2 linked regions of the Astyanax mexicanus genome follow. The protein of the gene in region 2 purifies or fractionates together with the protein of the main gene of each other region. This does not show direct contact. Links are inferred from orthologs where the notes say so. Each region holds a gene or a part of one and is shown on either strand. Other genes may lie near its edges.

Region 1 (8,330 bases), on a different chromosome or scaffold from region 2:
CAATTTAGAAAGACAAATTCCCAACCCACTCATTAAGACTCCCCCTAAGGAATAATAAGGAAATAATAAGGAAAATCAACCAGAACCATTGCTGCAACTGTTTGTAATGTCCTGAAGAAGAAAGTCATCACTGGTGTACTAAGTAACAGATGTTGAACAGGTGGACCAAAGAAAACAGCAGCAGTTGATGACAGAAACATTGTGAGTGCTGTTTAGAAAACCCTTTAACAACTGTAAGGGACATCAGCAACAGAAGACTTCATGAACAAAAAAACCTAGGTTAACAGTACATTATAGCTTCTCCACAGGTAAAACAATATATATAATAATAATAATAATCTTATCCAACAGGAATTAACCCTACAGTCTTCAACACACAGAAGAACAAAGATATATCACACCACATACCGTGTACAGAATGCCTGCATGTGTATAAGTCCATCTGTCCATTGCTATGAGAAATATGTTCCATTAAAAACAACTGTTTCCTTATTACTACATGAACAGTTCTGTCTGCATTTCTCATAGTAAAGCCACTCCTTATTCTCTGAAGCTTCCTGATTTTAATAAAGCACTATGAAGCTGTTTAGGAATGACTGTAGAAATATCTGCTATACATCAGACTATAACTTATATAGTTAGCTTTATCTAACTTGTTTTAATACTTTCTCTGATCATTTAAACAATATTAATTTCAGTAGTATCCATGTATTAAATAAATTTATCATTTTCTGTCATTAAATCAAAGCAAAATGATGAAAGGAAGAAAAAGTATAAGACTCAAGGATCCATGCATAATCCACCATATCATAATGATGATTATAATTAGAACTTAATGACTTTAATGCCTCTAAAACAAATTCAGATTTTGAGCATAGCATACCATACAGCAGTGGGTGGGAAAAACAGTATTAACTAATAATATATTGTTTCATCAGTTCCTCTCATCCTTCACTAATCAAGTGGAAACACTCAGCTCTGTTCAGTCAAACAAGTGGTTATCTACCTACTAAGTTACCTCCTAGTATCATATATGTATATACATACACACACTATTATATGTGCATAGAGCCTGTAGCATATTTAGCAGTAAAATATTAACATCTTATATCTTAAACATGTTATATCTTCTTTTAAATTCTAAAAGTAGAAAATTAATTAAATAAATAAATAAATATTAAAACCATGCCAACGTAAGGAGGAAAACTCCTGATTTGAGGAAGAAAAAAAAGCTAGCTCCTGTGTTTAATTTGCATTATGTTCAATCTTTGCACAAAATTGACCATTAATTCTATATATTACTGCATACATCAAACTATAGCATCCACGTGTAATACTGTAACTACACCTACGTCACATAATTAATTAAAAAATGTTATGATTTCAACATATAAATGAAACTGGAGTGTCGCTTTTATTATTAAAGCAAGACTCACTCTCAAACAGTTCAGTGTTATCAATCTGTCCAGGAAAAGAGGGGGAGTTCTGGTCTCCGGTCTTCACATATTCCTTCCACAACTCAAACCACCTACAATCCACCAGATACCTGCAAGATAATGAACAATAATAGTAGTGTTGTTTAAGAAAACAGTCTATTAATTACAGTTATTAACATGTGCGGTTTACTACATTACATTTATTCATTCATTACATATATTATTTAATTAATTAATTTATTTATTTTTTAATGAGAAGGTATGTCAAGGTAAATCTCCCTTCTCCTCTAAAGCCTGTGCCCAAACCGAAACTGATCTAAAACAGGGCGAATGACTAAGGAACAAACTCAAAAGTGAAACTTGGTAATGACAAAGCTGCTAGCTAACCTAGCTAACTGACAGCTAAACATTATTGTGTTCATATGGAGGTTTTGGATTTGGCTCTCTTTCAAGCACACTAGCAGTTCTTGGGCTTTCAGGTCTCCACTTGACAATACTATGGGATAACACTGACATTGCCAATGCTTTGTAGATAAATGGTTACAATTCCTAAACGCTTGATAGGATATATTTGTTCAATCCCTTGAATTAAATCTAAAAGTCTTTACTTCAGTTATATCTTTTTTGTTTTATTTCAAATCCAGTGTGGTGGCATGCAGAGCTCAAATCATGAAGATTGTATAACTGTCCAAATATTAATTTTAACTGACTTAAATGTATGTCACAGTTCAAAATAGCACTGTGCCATATTGTATCATACAAACGTACAAAAAACATGGATTATAGTAGTGTTCTTCCAAAAAACAGTCTATAAATTACAGTTATGTGTGGTTTATATACATACAGTATATATGCTGCACTTTAGTTTTGTGGATAATTTTGTAACATTACATTACAGTTACATTCAATTTGTTATATTACATGTCACATTATATGTCACATTTTTGTATATATATATATATATATATATATATATATATATATATATACAACTTTAAAGATGAAAAGGTGTGTCCAGGGTAAATTTCCCTTCTCCTCTAAAGCCTGTGCCTAAACCGAAACTGATGTAAACAGGGCGGTTGACTGAGGAACAAACTCAAAAGTGAAACTTGGGAATGACAAAGCTGCTAGCTAACCTAGCTAACTGACAGCTCTTAATCCAGACTAGGCTAAATTTGACACTTAACGTGTTCAAATAAGCTCTGTCTGCCCACAGTAAGATATAAGCTACGCTGTCTCTTTCTAAAAGCATTTGAAAGCAGCATTAACTAGTTAAATAACATAACAAGCTAGCTGTAAGCTAACTAGGTTAACCTAGCTAAATTAGGTTAGCTAGTTAACGTTAGCTTCTTTCTGTTCCTAAAAAAGCCTGACTGAAAATATATGAGTGTAACTTAATCAGGAACTGTTCCTACCAGCTAACCCACTCCACAAAACCCACATTCATGACTTTATTGTCTAAATTGTGTTAGCTAGCTAAGTTAGCTGGTAAAATATATCTGTCATTAAAGCCCAAAACCATTAGCTTGACTAACTAAACGCCACCAAAGCTTGTTACCCAGCCAACAGCTGAAGCTCAGACATCCTCCAGCATCTAAACATTTTAATAACATTTATTATTATGTGTTTATATCAGCACAGGCAGAGATATCTGAGAGTATATGTGCGTATTAAGCGCATCCAGCCCTCAGTAAGCCAGTTAATACAGTACTGTAGCCACTGAGCTCTGCAGCTCTGAGTTTCTTCCCAGCAGCAGCCGGACTGACTCTCACCAGCTCTCCCCGACCCGCAGCTCCTCTTCCCGCATCAGCGTCTCGATCTCCGCCCGCTGCGTCTCCAGCCCCGGAGGCTCCGTCGCCACGCCACTGCAGGTCGAGGCCATAATGATTCATTTAATACGACGCGAAAATCCAGCAGAACCCAGCGGAGAAACACCGCAAATTATTATTATTATATCGCAGGAAGAAGGAAGAGCTTCTGATGATGACTTCCTTACACGAAAGTGGGCGGGGTTAAATGGAAGGGGCGTAACTTATGTGTTGTAAGTTGTGTGTTTATTATAAATTATATATATAAATATACAGCTCTGGCAAAAAATTAGATCACTTTAAATGACCAGCTTCTCTGATTTTACTATTTATAGGCATATGTTTGAATAAAACAATGTAAAGACAACATTGTTGTTTTATTCTATAAACGAGAGACAACGTTTCTCCCAAATTTCAAATAAAAATATTGCCATATAGACTATTTATGTGTATTTGCAGAAAATGAGAAATACCTAAAATAAAAAAAGATGCAGACCATAAATAATACAAACAACAACAACAACTTCATATTCATAAAGTTATTAGAGTCCAAAACTCAATATTTGGTGCAATAACCCTGTTTTTAATCACAGTTTTTATGTATTTCGGCATGTTCTCCTCCACCAGTCTTACACACTGCTTTTGGATAACTTTATGCCACTCCTGTTGCAAAAAATTAAATATTCAGTTTGGTTTGATGGCTTGTGATCATTCATCTTCCTCTTGATTATATGCCAGAGGCTTTCAATTTGGTTAAATTAAAGAAACACATCATTTTTAAGTGGTCTCTTATTTTTGTCCAGAGCTGTATATTCTACCTTAGCTGTGCACTGATCAGCCATAACATTAAAACCTAAATGGGCCCTTGATTCAGGGATGTCAGAAGCAAAAAAAACCCTTGTGGGGGCTTGTCTATTTGCCCAGAAATTAATATAGTATAGTATAGCTTTATATTTCATCAAAGCAAAAGTTGACTACTCTGAACAACTTCAGAACTTTTTTTGAAAAGCATAAAATATAGACTCAACTGTATATTACCATGTCATACTTTTGATCTATTTAATTTTAAACAAAAATGTAGAAAAGAAAAATAAAACTCAGAAGGTGGTTCCAAACTTTGTACTGGCACTGTGTATGTAAAGACATTCAAAGTTCAATTAATAGATTGGTGCAGTTTTTAAAGCAAACAACACTAGATGGCGAGATTGTCCATCACATTACTGTTCAGCTGATCTAAGGTGCACACACTGCTGTGCTCAAACAGCTTATATCTTATATAGCCACATGGAAATCAATGCCTTAATTTAATCAAAAGTTTTCCTAACTTTTTTTTTACTTCTGTCTCTCAATTTGATCAGCAATACATATTGAGATGTGCTTTAAAACATAAATAAATGAGCTGCATTTGACAACAGATCACTGACCTATTTCCTGGATTTAAACTAATCATCTCCTCATATCTGATGAGCAGCAGTTAGACTGTAGGGCCACTCTAGAGCTGTGAAATTACACTGCATAAAAACACAGTTCTGATTAAATTAACCTTTTCATTCTCTATTAAAAACTAACTTGATTTTATAGCTATAGAGTGGTGCAACTGTCTAACTGCTGCTTGTCAAGAAACTGAAGAGAAATGTTTAATCCCGTCAACTTCAGAATAGCAGAAGAATAGAGTTTGAGAATAGAATAGAACCATATACAGCACACTCAAAAGGAGATGTTTGAGTTGAATCAAGTCGAATTAAGTCTGTTGCCATTGGCAGCATCTTTTTAATTGGCTTCTGGCACAATTGTTTTGCATACTGGGTGTGTCCCTCAGTTTCTGACACCCACCGTCAGTGTGTTGTCATTCCCCCCAGACTACCATAGGTAAACCTGTAGATCATTAATTGTGATTTCCTACCTGGCCTCGATGTTGTGGCCTACATCAGTTTCCTTAAATTATTTAAGTAAATTCAGCTTTTCCAGCTTTATATAGCTTTATATGTTTTTTTTAAATGCTTAGATTTATTTCTGTGAAGAAATTAAAAAGCACATTAGTTTTGCACTTAAGTGTAATCATGTGATATTCACACGTGACTTCGCTACGAAGCATCGTTAGGTTTCACTACAGACCAGTTTAGTCTTTTACTCCAGTTGTTATTTTGGAATCTTATCAGGCCAGTTTCTGTTTCTCAGAACAGAATTTCCTACTGAAACTACCTGTTGCTTTAAAGAGGATGTAGGTGAGATAATAGTCAGGGAGAGGTAGGAATCCTGCACTTAGGCTGCAATATTAATCATGTCTTTTAAAACCGCAGTCAGATTAGATTGAGATTTGAGGTTCTTTGCATTCTTCAATGGCGTTCATTGCAGCCCGGTCAGCGTGCCAACGTAACAAGGGCAACAATGCAGTTAAAATAATTAGCGTTTAAATATGGGTGGGGATGATTTATGCATGACCACATTTAGGAAGGTTAAAATTCCTTTACAGTGTACTGACAATTAAAACTAAATTCCACAGACGTGTAGGTTATGACACCCTGGGCTGTACTCAGTGAGCCTGCCAGCATTTTATGATGTGTACATATATCAGTAATACCATACACGTGGTAATAGTAATGGTAAAAGACTGTATGAGTCTATTTACACGTTGTATTAACATGCATTTTACCTCTGGATAGTACCGGGGGTCTATTTTGGCTTTAACCTCATGATTAAGATGGAGTAACCACCTGTAATACCTCAGCAACCAGCTGATACATATACCTTATCATCTGGCCTAGCTGCTACCTGATGTATCACAAAAACCAAACATGAACAGCTTAAAACCACCATAACACACAACCTTGGGCTTCTTATTAGTAATCACCAGAAATATCAAAGAAACCACATTACAACAACCTAACAACAGTGGAATGTTGAGTGATGGAAACCCATTTAATACTCTTAAGATGGGATAAAGTAACAAGCATGTGAAATACCCTAGCAACACACCCTAGCAACCACCTATGAACACCTTATCAACAGGTTAGTAACTTCCTGAAATATTATAGCAAATATTTTATCAACACCCCAGCATCCACCTAGCAACTGTGGAATATGGAGTGATAAAGACCAATTCAATACTATCAAAATGGGATGAAGTAACAAGCATGTGAAATACCTTAGCTACACACCTAAGCAACCACTTATGAACACCTTAGCAACACCTTAGTAACTGCCTGGAATATTATAGTTACTATTGTATCAACACCCCAGCATTACCTAGCAAATGTGGAGATCCATCCAATAGTTGTAGTAACTTCATGAAATTCCCCTGGAAACAAGCATGTGATATACCTTAGCAACACACCCTACAATAATCTCAACCACCTACAATCACCTTAGTATAGTACCTACTTAGCAACACCTTAGGAACTGCCTGAAATACTGTAGTAACTGCATCCACATAGAATACCATGTGAACCACTTAATAAAACATCTTAATCCTAGTGACCACATAGCAACAGCCTAGCAACGGTGGACAGCCACATTTTATTTTAGCAATTATTATTATTATTTGGCATCTACTATTGTACCTGCACCTGTACCAGACACAAAAAAGGCTCAGTATTGAAAAAAAAAAACTTTATTAATATTTGAACATGTTCAGTATCAGATCTAAAAGATGAATCCAGAACAGAACATACATGAAAGAGATGAATAACTTGAGAAAGATAAGGAAGATGAGCAGCTGCTGTCCTGTGCTGTTGACAGATACACACACAATCAACTAAATATCAACTAATAGGTATATTTTATCTGTGAGAAGGGAACACGCTGTTGTCCTGAGTCTCGAACATCTTAATGAGGACCTTAGAAGGAGAGTTGCGTACCGGAGGCACAGCAAGGTCTGAAAAAGATAAGGGAAAAATATTTAACTGGTACTGAAGGCTGCTGGTAAATGTCTAGAGGACATACTTTGTGGGGATCCTTATTAGCATTGATGTAAATGAATATACAGTATTGATACTCACTGTTTTTTGGGACCTTCTGGACATGTATGACCGATTGTTGTTCAATTCTAAAAGATGAAAAACAAAAAAAGTGTTTTTTTTAGATAATTCCATCACATTTCATAATTTCAGTACAATTTGATTAATACTGTCAGTCCTGATACTGTCTCAGAGTTTGCCTGCTCTGGGCTCTGAACTACACAATAAAGACTCTATTTCCCAGCATGCACTTACACAGGACTTGGGACTTCCCTGACTCTGCTGATCACGTGACGCTATGCTGTTCCTGCTCTCCCGGTTACTGATTGTTTGCACCTGGCTTGTCCTATATATATACACCCCTCTGTTTTTCTGTCCCTTGCCAAGTATTGAATCTAGTTAGCTAGCTCCTCTTTATTGTTTGTTTCTGTTGCAGATCTATTTTTGTATTTTTGACTACTCTTTTGCCAAGCCCCTTTTCTACTGGATTTTCTGTGTATGATTTTCTGTGTATGACCCTGTTTGACCCAACTACTCTACTGGTATGTTTATTACATTTGCTGCCATACTGTGTGTTCGGTATCCACGTGTGTCTGTTGTCTGTCTGATCTGCATGACAACTACAATACAAGTAACCAAGACCATAAAAAGTTTAAGAATAGGTGAATAACTACCCTTTAAAATGTTTACTTTTACTTGTAGGCCCAGTAAATTAATTCCATTAATGAAAATGCTAACACTCTCATTTCTATAAGTCTAAACTAAAAAAGTTTTTGTTTAATGGTTCTCTCACCGGTTCTCCTCTCCTTCCAGCAGCTTCCTGTAGGTGGCGATCTCAATGTCCAGAGCCAGTTTGACATTCATGAGCTCCTGGTACTCGCGGAGCTGCTTGGCCATGTCCTTCTTAGCCTTCTTCAGAGCTTCTTCCAGCTCTCTGATCTGCATCTGAGCATCACTCACTGCCTGTTCACCACGACGCTCCGCCTGCAGTATCTGACTGTCCACAAGGTCACGCTGCAAGACAGTAAAGAGTGATTTTAGTTTGGTTAAAAAGCTTTCCAGGATGGGTTCCACTCAGACCACAGACCTCCCCAGGGTCGACCAAAGAAGTTAAGCTTTAAAAAATAGTT
Region 2 (8,880 bases):
ATGATGTTCAGCCCATTTCAGACATGCCACAGTGCAGACAGCTGGTAATTACCCAACAGAGACTCTGTAGTGCTGCCACCGGACACGTCTGCCAGTTTCAGCACAAATTCAGGAATTTACAGCCCCACTTCATTACGATTAAAGACACTCGAAACCCCAGGCAGAGCAGGCGTACGTAATCACGCACTCTACAGGCTAATTCTGTGTCCCAGAGGTCAGGCTGGACAAATCAGGGTGTGATCACATTCCCCAGAACAGCAGCGTTCCCGAGCCTCCCTCCCCGAGCCCTGCAGCAACTCTTATCTCCACAATGAGCTGGAATTTAGGGCAACGGTACAAATCTAAACCATTCAACGCACTCAGGAACGGGAAGTCTGGGGGGTTCGATTCCCCATCCAGGAAATCACAGCATGGCACAGCAGGCCCTGAGACAAGAAGAAGAATTTCTTCTAAATTCACTTAGAAGACAACAAGCAGCCTCTTTACGAACAATCTTACCTGTGATAATCATGGTAAATTCCCCCAGCACTGTTCTACTACTATCATACGATCTTAAACAAGGTTACATTTATTATCCAGTGAATATAGATAATTTTATATGAATATGCATAATAATAAAGCATCTACAAAATAGTTAGCTAAAAGAAGTTTAAATAATAATGATTTAGTATCGCTATTGTTTTGAGTCCCAAAGTCAGCTTAATACATGCTCTTAAAAAATACATATATACAACTGACTGAGGCAAATTATCAGTTTAATAGTGACAATATTTAATCTTTAACTATTTTACCACGAAATTTGAGCAGAATGAGAAAAAGAACACACTCTGTGTGTTGCCTATATTACCTGAGCCAACATTATATTATAGCGAGTGCGATCTACACTGTATGTGTTAATATTTACAATATTAACTGATCTACCTAAATGGAATCTTTCTGTATTCATATTTAACCAAATTTACATTTTTAAGCAAATCTGAAAATTATGTTTCAAATTGTGACTGTTTTGTGTCAAATATGTTTTTTGTTGAAAAAGTAGCTACCATATAACCTAACTACCTAGCAATCTCTGATCTTCCATGATCATTAATTTACAGATCTGATTGGTTTCACTGGGTGAAACCTGCACATTTCATTCTTCAAAGAGCACAATTAAGTAATTATGCTGCATTCCATTTAGCTTACATGTTGGATGGTGCAGCTAGGTATTATGTCATACACTATTCCAGGTCAAAATATAAATCACAAGTGTTTTTACGGTGTTTTATGGTAAATCTAACCAATACTTTTCCCACTTTTTATGTCCTGGATTATCCCTTGTCCTGGATAGCCTTATCCCTTGTTAGAATTGTTTGTGAAACCAACTGATAATGAAGGAATTATTTTGCACATCCAAACAGCATGTAATCATGTGCAGATAGAAGTAGTACAGAACTGTGTGTTGGATGGATTTAATGAAACACTTATAGATAGAAGTGATAAACTCTATAATAATATTGCTTTACAACTGCTGATGTGTGAGGTTGCCATATTGGATTCTATTGGAAATTCGAGATTAAATGGAATGCAAATAATTCCCAGTTCTGTTAGATGGAAAGGCAACCAGTTTTCAATGTTCCAAATATGGAACAGGTTTTGAAATCTTGCTGTAAAATATGGATGGAAATATTCTGCGTATGGTGAAATGTCTTTATTGTGATAATAATTTTACATCTAAACCAGTATTTAGTTGACATTCTGCATTTGACATGAATAGAGAGTTGAATGTCAGAATTTACCATACTTTTCTTAGCCTGTAAAACTCTCATTTTTGCTTACATAACAAAACCCACACATAAGTGTGTTTGTGTGCACATTTATTTTTGAATGGCTTTTCTAAAACACTTATTACACACACTCATTCCAGAAAGTTCAGCTAAACTTTCCCCAAACTGGTTAAAGCACCTATTAAAAGTTAATCCAGAGGTATTCAAACTGAGGGGTTTAGTAATGTTGCAATGGAACAAAGGAGAGAGACTTACAGACAAGGTTAATATGTGTACATATAGCTAAAAGTGTTACTCGTTCTTTCTTATATTGAATGATGCATTCTCTCTGATGTATAAGCTACAAAAACTGATCGGGAGTATCGATCCGCGGGTTAGCTGCGCTACGTCACTGACACAGGGAGCCAGGTGTTCTATCGAGTTGTGCTACCCGTCGATATGTGATACTTAGCGGCTCTGCGCATGCGCAAAAATCTCATCTTTACTGTTTTCATGTGTTCTTTCCTAGAGGTGGGTAGCCCAGGTCCAGAAAGTAAAATTCCAGGCAGCTGGTACAAAACCCTGAGTTAGATTTCTACTTGCTGGACCTGTGTTACCCACCTCTAGTTCCTGGTAATTTAGTTTTCAGTTTTTTCCCCCCAGGTGCATTGTACAATCTGGACTCACAGTCATCGTTTGCCTGAATGTTACAACCGTGTAAAAAAACTAACAAATATAATAATAAAAATAAATAAAAATGTTTTCAGTCATGTTGCCTTGTTTTAACCTGTTTAACCTATGTTGCTTTAACTTTATCCTGATACAGCGATCTAGGCTATTCAGATATGATTATACCGACACTTCTACTGCATGCAGCATGTTCTAATATTTTTTATTTTTACAGTTAAACATTAAACACTAGGGTAGCACGGTTTGACAGGGTAGCACAACTCCACAGAACACCGGAATCGGGCGATGACGTCACCGCGTGTAACACGATGAACCATCCGAGAGCGAGTGTCTCGCGTGGAGCCGCGCCGGTGATTTACACCCAGAGTAAAACCCACCCCGCCCCGCTAACGCGCTCCCGGATCTGGCGGGGGGAGTCCCGGCCCGGTAACGGGCTCCGGCTGCTCCCTCCCTCCCTCTCCCCTCTCTCCCTCCATTTTTATGCAACTCATTCATGCGAGCAGGTCGTCGCTTCCTGTAACTTCACCGCTTTGTTTTTTCCCCTCGAACAAGTCTACCTGCAGCAGCAGCGAAGTTTAGAACTGCTTAAACTCGTAAAAGAAAGTGCGCGTGGAGATGAAACTGTGTTGCGATCTCGTTTAGAGTCCCTCCCGGCCAAGCTTTACTCCCCTCGCCCTTCAACGTTGAAGCTGAAGTTAGCATCTCGTTCACTTTTCCCATTCCACCTTAAATAGTGAAGCAGTTCCATGGCACTTTACAGTTACGTTCTGGCGCCTCAGTGGCCGGAGCAATGGAACGTCTGTCCCATTTAAGGTGGACCGCAGAGTTAGACTTGAAAGCCAACTTTGAGCCTGGCTCGTCCTTCCTGCTTCAGTGCACTTTGCTCTTTAGAGCAGATGGGTGGAAAATACGCCTTGTAAAAACTATAAAAACAACTTACCTGCTTATTCCAGCTGCTTTAAGGTTGACTTAACAAGAACCGGTGCTTATCCTGGTCGTAGCAGCTTTGCAAAAACCGCCTGTCCGCTGCAACCTCTCTTCAGGCTAGCGCGCTCTCTCCTCTTTCGTCTCTTTTGCTCTCTCTCTCTCTCTCTCTCTCTCTCTCTCTCTCTCTCTCTCTCTCTCTCTCTCTCTCTCTCTCTCACTCTTTTACTATTTTTTTCTGCTCTCTCTTCTCCCTCCCTCTCTTCCACTTGCACTGTTTCGCCTACTGGCTCGGGGTGCGGTCCAGAGAGGGCGGGGCCGGCGCGGTTTGTACGCCACGCCCACTTCCTCACTTCTCTGCCAGTCAGCGCGTAGCGTTCAGGCGGCTTCGGCCAATCAGAAGCCCAAAAGTGCGAAAACGAACCGGAGCTAAAGTATGAGAGAGCGGGAAGGGGGCGGGGCGGAGGAGTGGGGGCGGGGCCTGCCTCTCCCGGAGTTTAGAGTTTAACGGGACGGTCTGAGCAGCCGAGGACTTTTATGACCATATAAGTAGCCGGGCTGCGCGGGACGGACCCACCAGCAGCCCCTCGACCCCGGTGTGTCACTGTCTGCAGCTCCGCACACACACTCCCACAAAACACGGAGGAATGCCAGGAATTACCAATGCAGTCCACCCCCCCCCCCCTTTCCCTGTTTCTCTCCCTTTTTTGTGCGCTAGATTATGAATAGGCCTCAGTTCAGGCCCCCACTATTGTAGACAGGTTTATCACACTCATTCATCTTTACCATTTAAAACATTTAAACACTTACTTTTAAAAGTGAAGTTTTGTGTAGAATCCTGGAAAAAAACATCGGTTTGTCAAACGATAAAAAAAATATTTTTGTAACACTTAAACTTTTAGTAATAGATATTTAAATGTAATTAAAAAGAATCAATGTCAAGGTCATCTAAATGGTTTTATTTGTATTCAAATATGTTTGTTTAAATGTATCTTTACATCACTAAATATTGCTAAAAATGGCTAATGCATCACCAGGCTCTGGAAAAAGTTACTGCAGATATTTGGTAAAATAAAATTAAAGCGCTTTCTAGATTAATTGTGTGTGTGTGTGTGTGTGTGTGTGTGTGTGTGTGTGTGTGTGTGTGTGTGTGTGTGTGTGTGTGTGTGTGTGTGTGTGTGTGTTACCAGGTTAACACTGACAACACTATTTTATATATAAGCATTTGTTGAGTTCAGAATTTTGTGCACATTTTTTTGACATTCATTTTGTGTCATTAATTTTCTATACTTATGTAGCATTTTGTTTACCTCAGAAGTTAGATTATGGAGATAAAAATGTTTCACTTAAACATACAAATAGTTTAAATAAACAGTTAGCTAAAGATTTTGGAGTATACCACAATTGGTTTGCTGGCAAATCAGATTTAATCTAACTGATGATAATTAGTTGATGATGATAATAAGACTGTGGAAATTTTGTAACTATAATTTTATTCTTTAGATAAAGCCAGAGAGTGATTTCCGACATCTTCAAAAGACTCTTGGAAACTGGAGAAAACTGCTACAGGCTGACCCACATGGCAACATCTTTAGCTCAGATTAACACTGTAAATCTAAAAAGTCTCAGTTTTAGCAGTGGAGAGAAGAATTAGAGGTGGCAGGTAACATGCAGTAATAAAGACATTGTTAAGATGATCAAATAAAACAATAGGGATGTTTTGAAACTTGTTGTGTACTTGAGCACATTTTGTATTTGCTCTGTTGGTTGGTGGGGCACAGTGTCCAGATTTAATTAGGTTGTTGTGTTCCTGCAGTCTGTGTTTTTTGTTCCTCCTGCAGTATTGTGAAGTCCCTGTGTGATGATGAATGGAATATTCCACATACCTGAGCTCATATTCATCTAAAAATGAAATACAAAACAGGCATTAATCTCTGGGTGAGGAACTGGAATCTAGTTCTGCTGCCTGCCCAGACTCTGGATCTCCTGGACTGAATTTACATCATTTTTCTAGCCTTTAATCTCCTCATCTTATTCCTTCTATTCTGCTCCTCTTTCTCTTTCTATCTCCTTGAGTCTAAAATGAGCTGTTGTTGGGATTGAATTAAAGGCTGAGAGGATGAGACCTGCAATAAACCTAACTAGTTCTATTCACTTAACTCAAACTATAATTAAACACAATTACACACATTTGCACTTTTCTGAGCATTTTCTGAGCTTTACAGCATGAGCCTATGAGTAATCCATGTTTATTCCACTTTACTCCTTCGTATTAATGCATTAATTACATAATGTCCTGTCTTTAATTTCCTTGTATTGTGTTGGTTCTGCTCCCAGCCTGCTTCACTGCTTTACTATAGTCTGTAACAGATTTTAAAAGTAGCTTAAAAGCATTTTCTGACTACTGACTTTGTTAGGGTTTAGTTGTGTTCATTTTAACGGTATATAGAATTAATTACAGGTAGACACGCTTACTGTGTGATTATGGGATTTTTGAAGGTTCTTATTAAAGACAAGGGTTTCATTGAGAACCATCGTAGCTTAATGGGTTAAAGGGTTGGTTTACTTTACTTTAAAGAAACATCTGAACCCAGGATGTCCTAAAAACTACATATTAAAAACAACACAGTAATCAGTTTGTGTTAAAAAAGTATTTAAAAAAATATCTACAAGAAAGTTTAAGTACTTCTGAATTTGAATAGCAGTTTAACTATAGGTCAGATGTGTAAATGATTCATTGAGATGTTGACTTTGCTAAAGAACTTGTGAAAAACCTTTTATATAGCACTAAAATAAAACAAAAATGCTAGAATGTCAGAGCTTTTAGTAAATACTACAAATTTTCATGTTACTTAAATGTTTTTCACATTTTGCCACAAACCACAAACTTAAATGTAATTTATTGATATTTTAAGTGATATAATAAAAAGAACTAAAATTATAATGATTTCCGATTTTTTTATCAAATAAAATCTGAAACAGAGATGTGCAAAAGTAATCAGCCTATTAACCCTTTCAGTATACCAACACTTAGTAGAGCCACATTTCACTGCAATTTCAGCTGTAGGTATTTTTGGGTATGTCTCAATGAACTTTGTACATGTAGATACTGAGATGTTTGCCAATTTTTCTTTGCAAAAAAGCTAAAGCTCAGCCAGGTTGGATGGAGAGCATCTGTGAACAGCAATTTTCATGTCTTGCGACAGATGCTGGATGGGATTTTGGTCAGAACTTTGACTGGGCCTTTCTAACACATGAATATTCTTTGATTTTAATCATTCCACTGTAGCTCTGGCTGTATGTTTAGGCTCATTGTCTTGCTGGAAGCTGAATCTCCTTCCCAGTCTCAAGTTTTTTGCAGCCTCCAACAGGTTTTCTTCCAGGATTGTCCTGTATTTGGCTCCATCCATCTTCCCATTAATTTTGACCAACTTCCCTGTCCCTGCTGAAAAAAACATCCACACAGCATGATGCTGCCACCACCATGCTTCACAGTGGGGATGGTGTGTTCAGGGTGATGAGCTGTGTTACTTTTTTACCACACAAAGCCCTTTGCATTTAGGCCAAAAAGTTACCAGCACTGGTCTCATCTGACCACAGCGTCTTCTTCCACATGTTTGCTGTGTATCTTCCATGGCTTGTGGCAAACTGCAAGCGACACTTCTTATCACGTCTTTCTTTCAACATTGGTTTTGTTTGTGACACTTATCCATAAACGGCAGGTTTGTGGAGTGCACAACTTATAGTTGTCCTGTATACAGATTCTCCCACCTGAGCTGTGGATTTCTGCAGCTCTTTCAGAGTGACCTTGGGCCTCTTGGCTGCTTCTCTGACCAGTGCTCTCCTTGCTCGATCTGTCAGTTTAGATGGACTGTCATGTCTTGGTAGGTTTGCAGGTATATAATACTTTTTTTCTGGATGATGGATTGTACAGTGCTTTTTGGGATGCTCTAAGCTTGAGACAACTTCTCCACAAATTTATCTCTGACCTGTCTGGTGAGTTATTTGGTCTTCATGATGCTGTTTGTTCACTAGTGTTCTCCAACAAACCACAGAAGAGAACATTTATACTGAGACTAAATTACACACAGCTGGACTCTGTTAACTAATTATGTGATTTCTTAAGGCAGTTGATTGCACTGGATTTTATTTAGGGGATTTAGAGTAAAGAAGGCTAAATACTTTTGCACATCACACTTTTTTACAGATTTGTATTATTTTTATTAAAATCTTTGAAAACCATATATCATTTTTGTTCTACTCTACTCTACTCTATTCTAATTATGTGCTATCTTGTGTTGGTCTCATATAGACCTCATTTTACATCTTTTCACCTTTCACTTTCAACCAGAAATAGAAAAAAAGTAACATTTTCTACCAGAAATTGTTTTAATGAAAAGCTGGGACGTTTTTTTCAATGTCAATGTTTATATTTTATCACTGTTTGTTATTGCCAGATTTTTAAGTATTTTTTTTCAGTCATATTTTGAGTTGTTTATTTAAACATTCCTTTTTATATATGTAAGAGTGTCTCTGTTACTCTCTCTATCTCTCCCTCTCTCTTTCTCTCTCGGGTAAAGGGGGGGGCTATGTTGACGCCAGACTTTCACAAACATCCTTGAGCTTCGGATGAAGAGTTGTGACCCTGCCGGTCACGCAGACACAACTTCCACATCTCCAGTCAGTCACACAGAGCGACAGCTCTTTTAGCAAAAGTGCTAAGACATCCACATACTCTAAACTGTCAGATGGAGTAAAATTATCATGCTGAGTGTAACTGGCCAGTACAACAAAATATACAAATTTAAAGGACTTTGTTTGTATAGCTACTAAAAAAAAAGGGTTTCAACCAACTTTTTATATACTATGCATGTGCTAAAGCTCTTTTACCATTGTTGGTTCCTTGCACCATACTATATATGTCAATGTCAATTTTATTTTTTTAACAACAAATGTTGACCAAAGTGCTGTACAGTAATTAATAAACAAGGAATCTATTAAAACAAATGAGATTTCTGGCGGGATTTAAAAGTCGACAGTGAGGGGGCTAACCTAACAAACAGTGGCAACTCATTCCATAGTTTGTGGTCCAGAAAGACTTCCAGGTTACTTACCATCAGTAAGTTGTCTACCACCCAAATTTACCTTCTCTTGGGTGTTGTATTTGTATTTTATATGTTAATTATCTGTTAGACCTGATTTTTGTAGAATGTAAGATCAGGTTATCGTTATTCTGTGTTACTGAGGAGTTGCAGTGCATTGGCCTGGTGCTACAGTAATGCAAAAAATACAGTTTGAATCATTTCTTTGATTAAGTCTATATGTACTATATAAGAATACTAATTTATTTAAAGATTTAATAAAGTTTTTTAACCCCACAATACATGTTAATAACCAGTTGGGTAAATAAAAAGATTGTTATGTGAATAAAAACTAAAATAATCTAAATACGTCATGTCAAAGCAAACTGATGATGGGTTAAATTTCAAAGCCGTGGTAGATGTTTTAACTGTGACCCTGT

What was found. The genes of interacting proteins can lie anywhere in the genome.
Region 1: the proteins of myosin-9 (region 2) and usp11 purify together in Homo sapiens (affinity purification with mass spectrometry; 3 studies listed by BioGRID, with this or other methods). This does not show direct contact. The link is inferred for Astyanax mexicanus from reciprocal best matches to the Homo sapiens genes MYH9 and USP11.

What each region holds. Positions count from the first base shown.
Region 1 is NC_064419.1:3,820,504-3,828,833, forward strand, and holds the start of usp11 (ubiquitin carboxyl-terminal hydrolase 11), read right to left. Parts: upstream 3,447-8,330; 5' UTR 3,319-3,446; coding exon 3,209-3,318; intron 1,547-3,208; coding exon 1,437-1,546; intron 1-1,436. Other genes in the region: si:dkey-222n6.2 (keratin, type II cytoskeletal cochleal), read right to left, coding at 7,024-7,118, 7,243-7,289, 7,994-8,214.
Region 2 is NC_064410.1:18,744,124-18,753,003, reverse strand, and holds the start of myosin-9, read right to left. Parts: upstream 3,533-8,880; 5' UTR 3,376-3,532; intron 1-3,375. UniProt on the Homo sapiens protein: Cellular myosin that appears to play a role in cytokinesis, cell shape, and specialized functions such as secretion and capping. Required for cortical actin clearance prior to oocyte exocytosis. Promotes cell motility in conjunction with S100A4.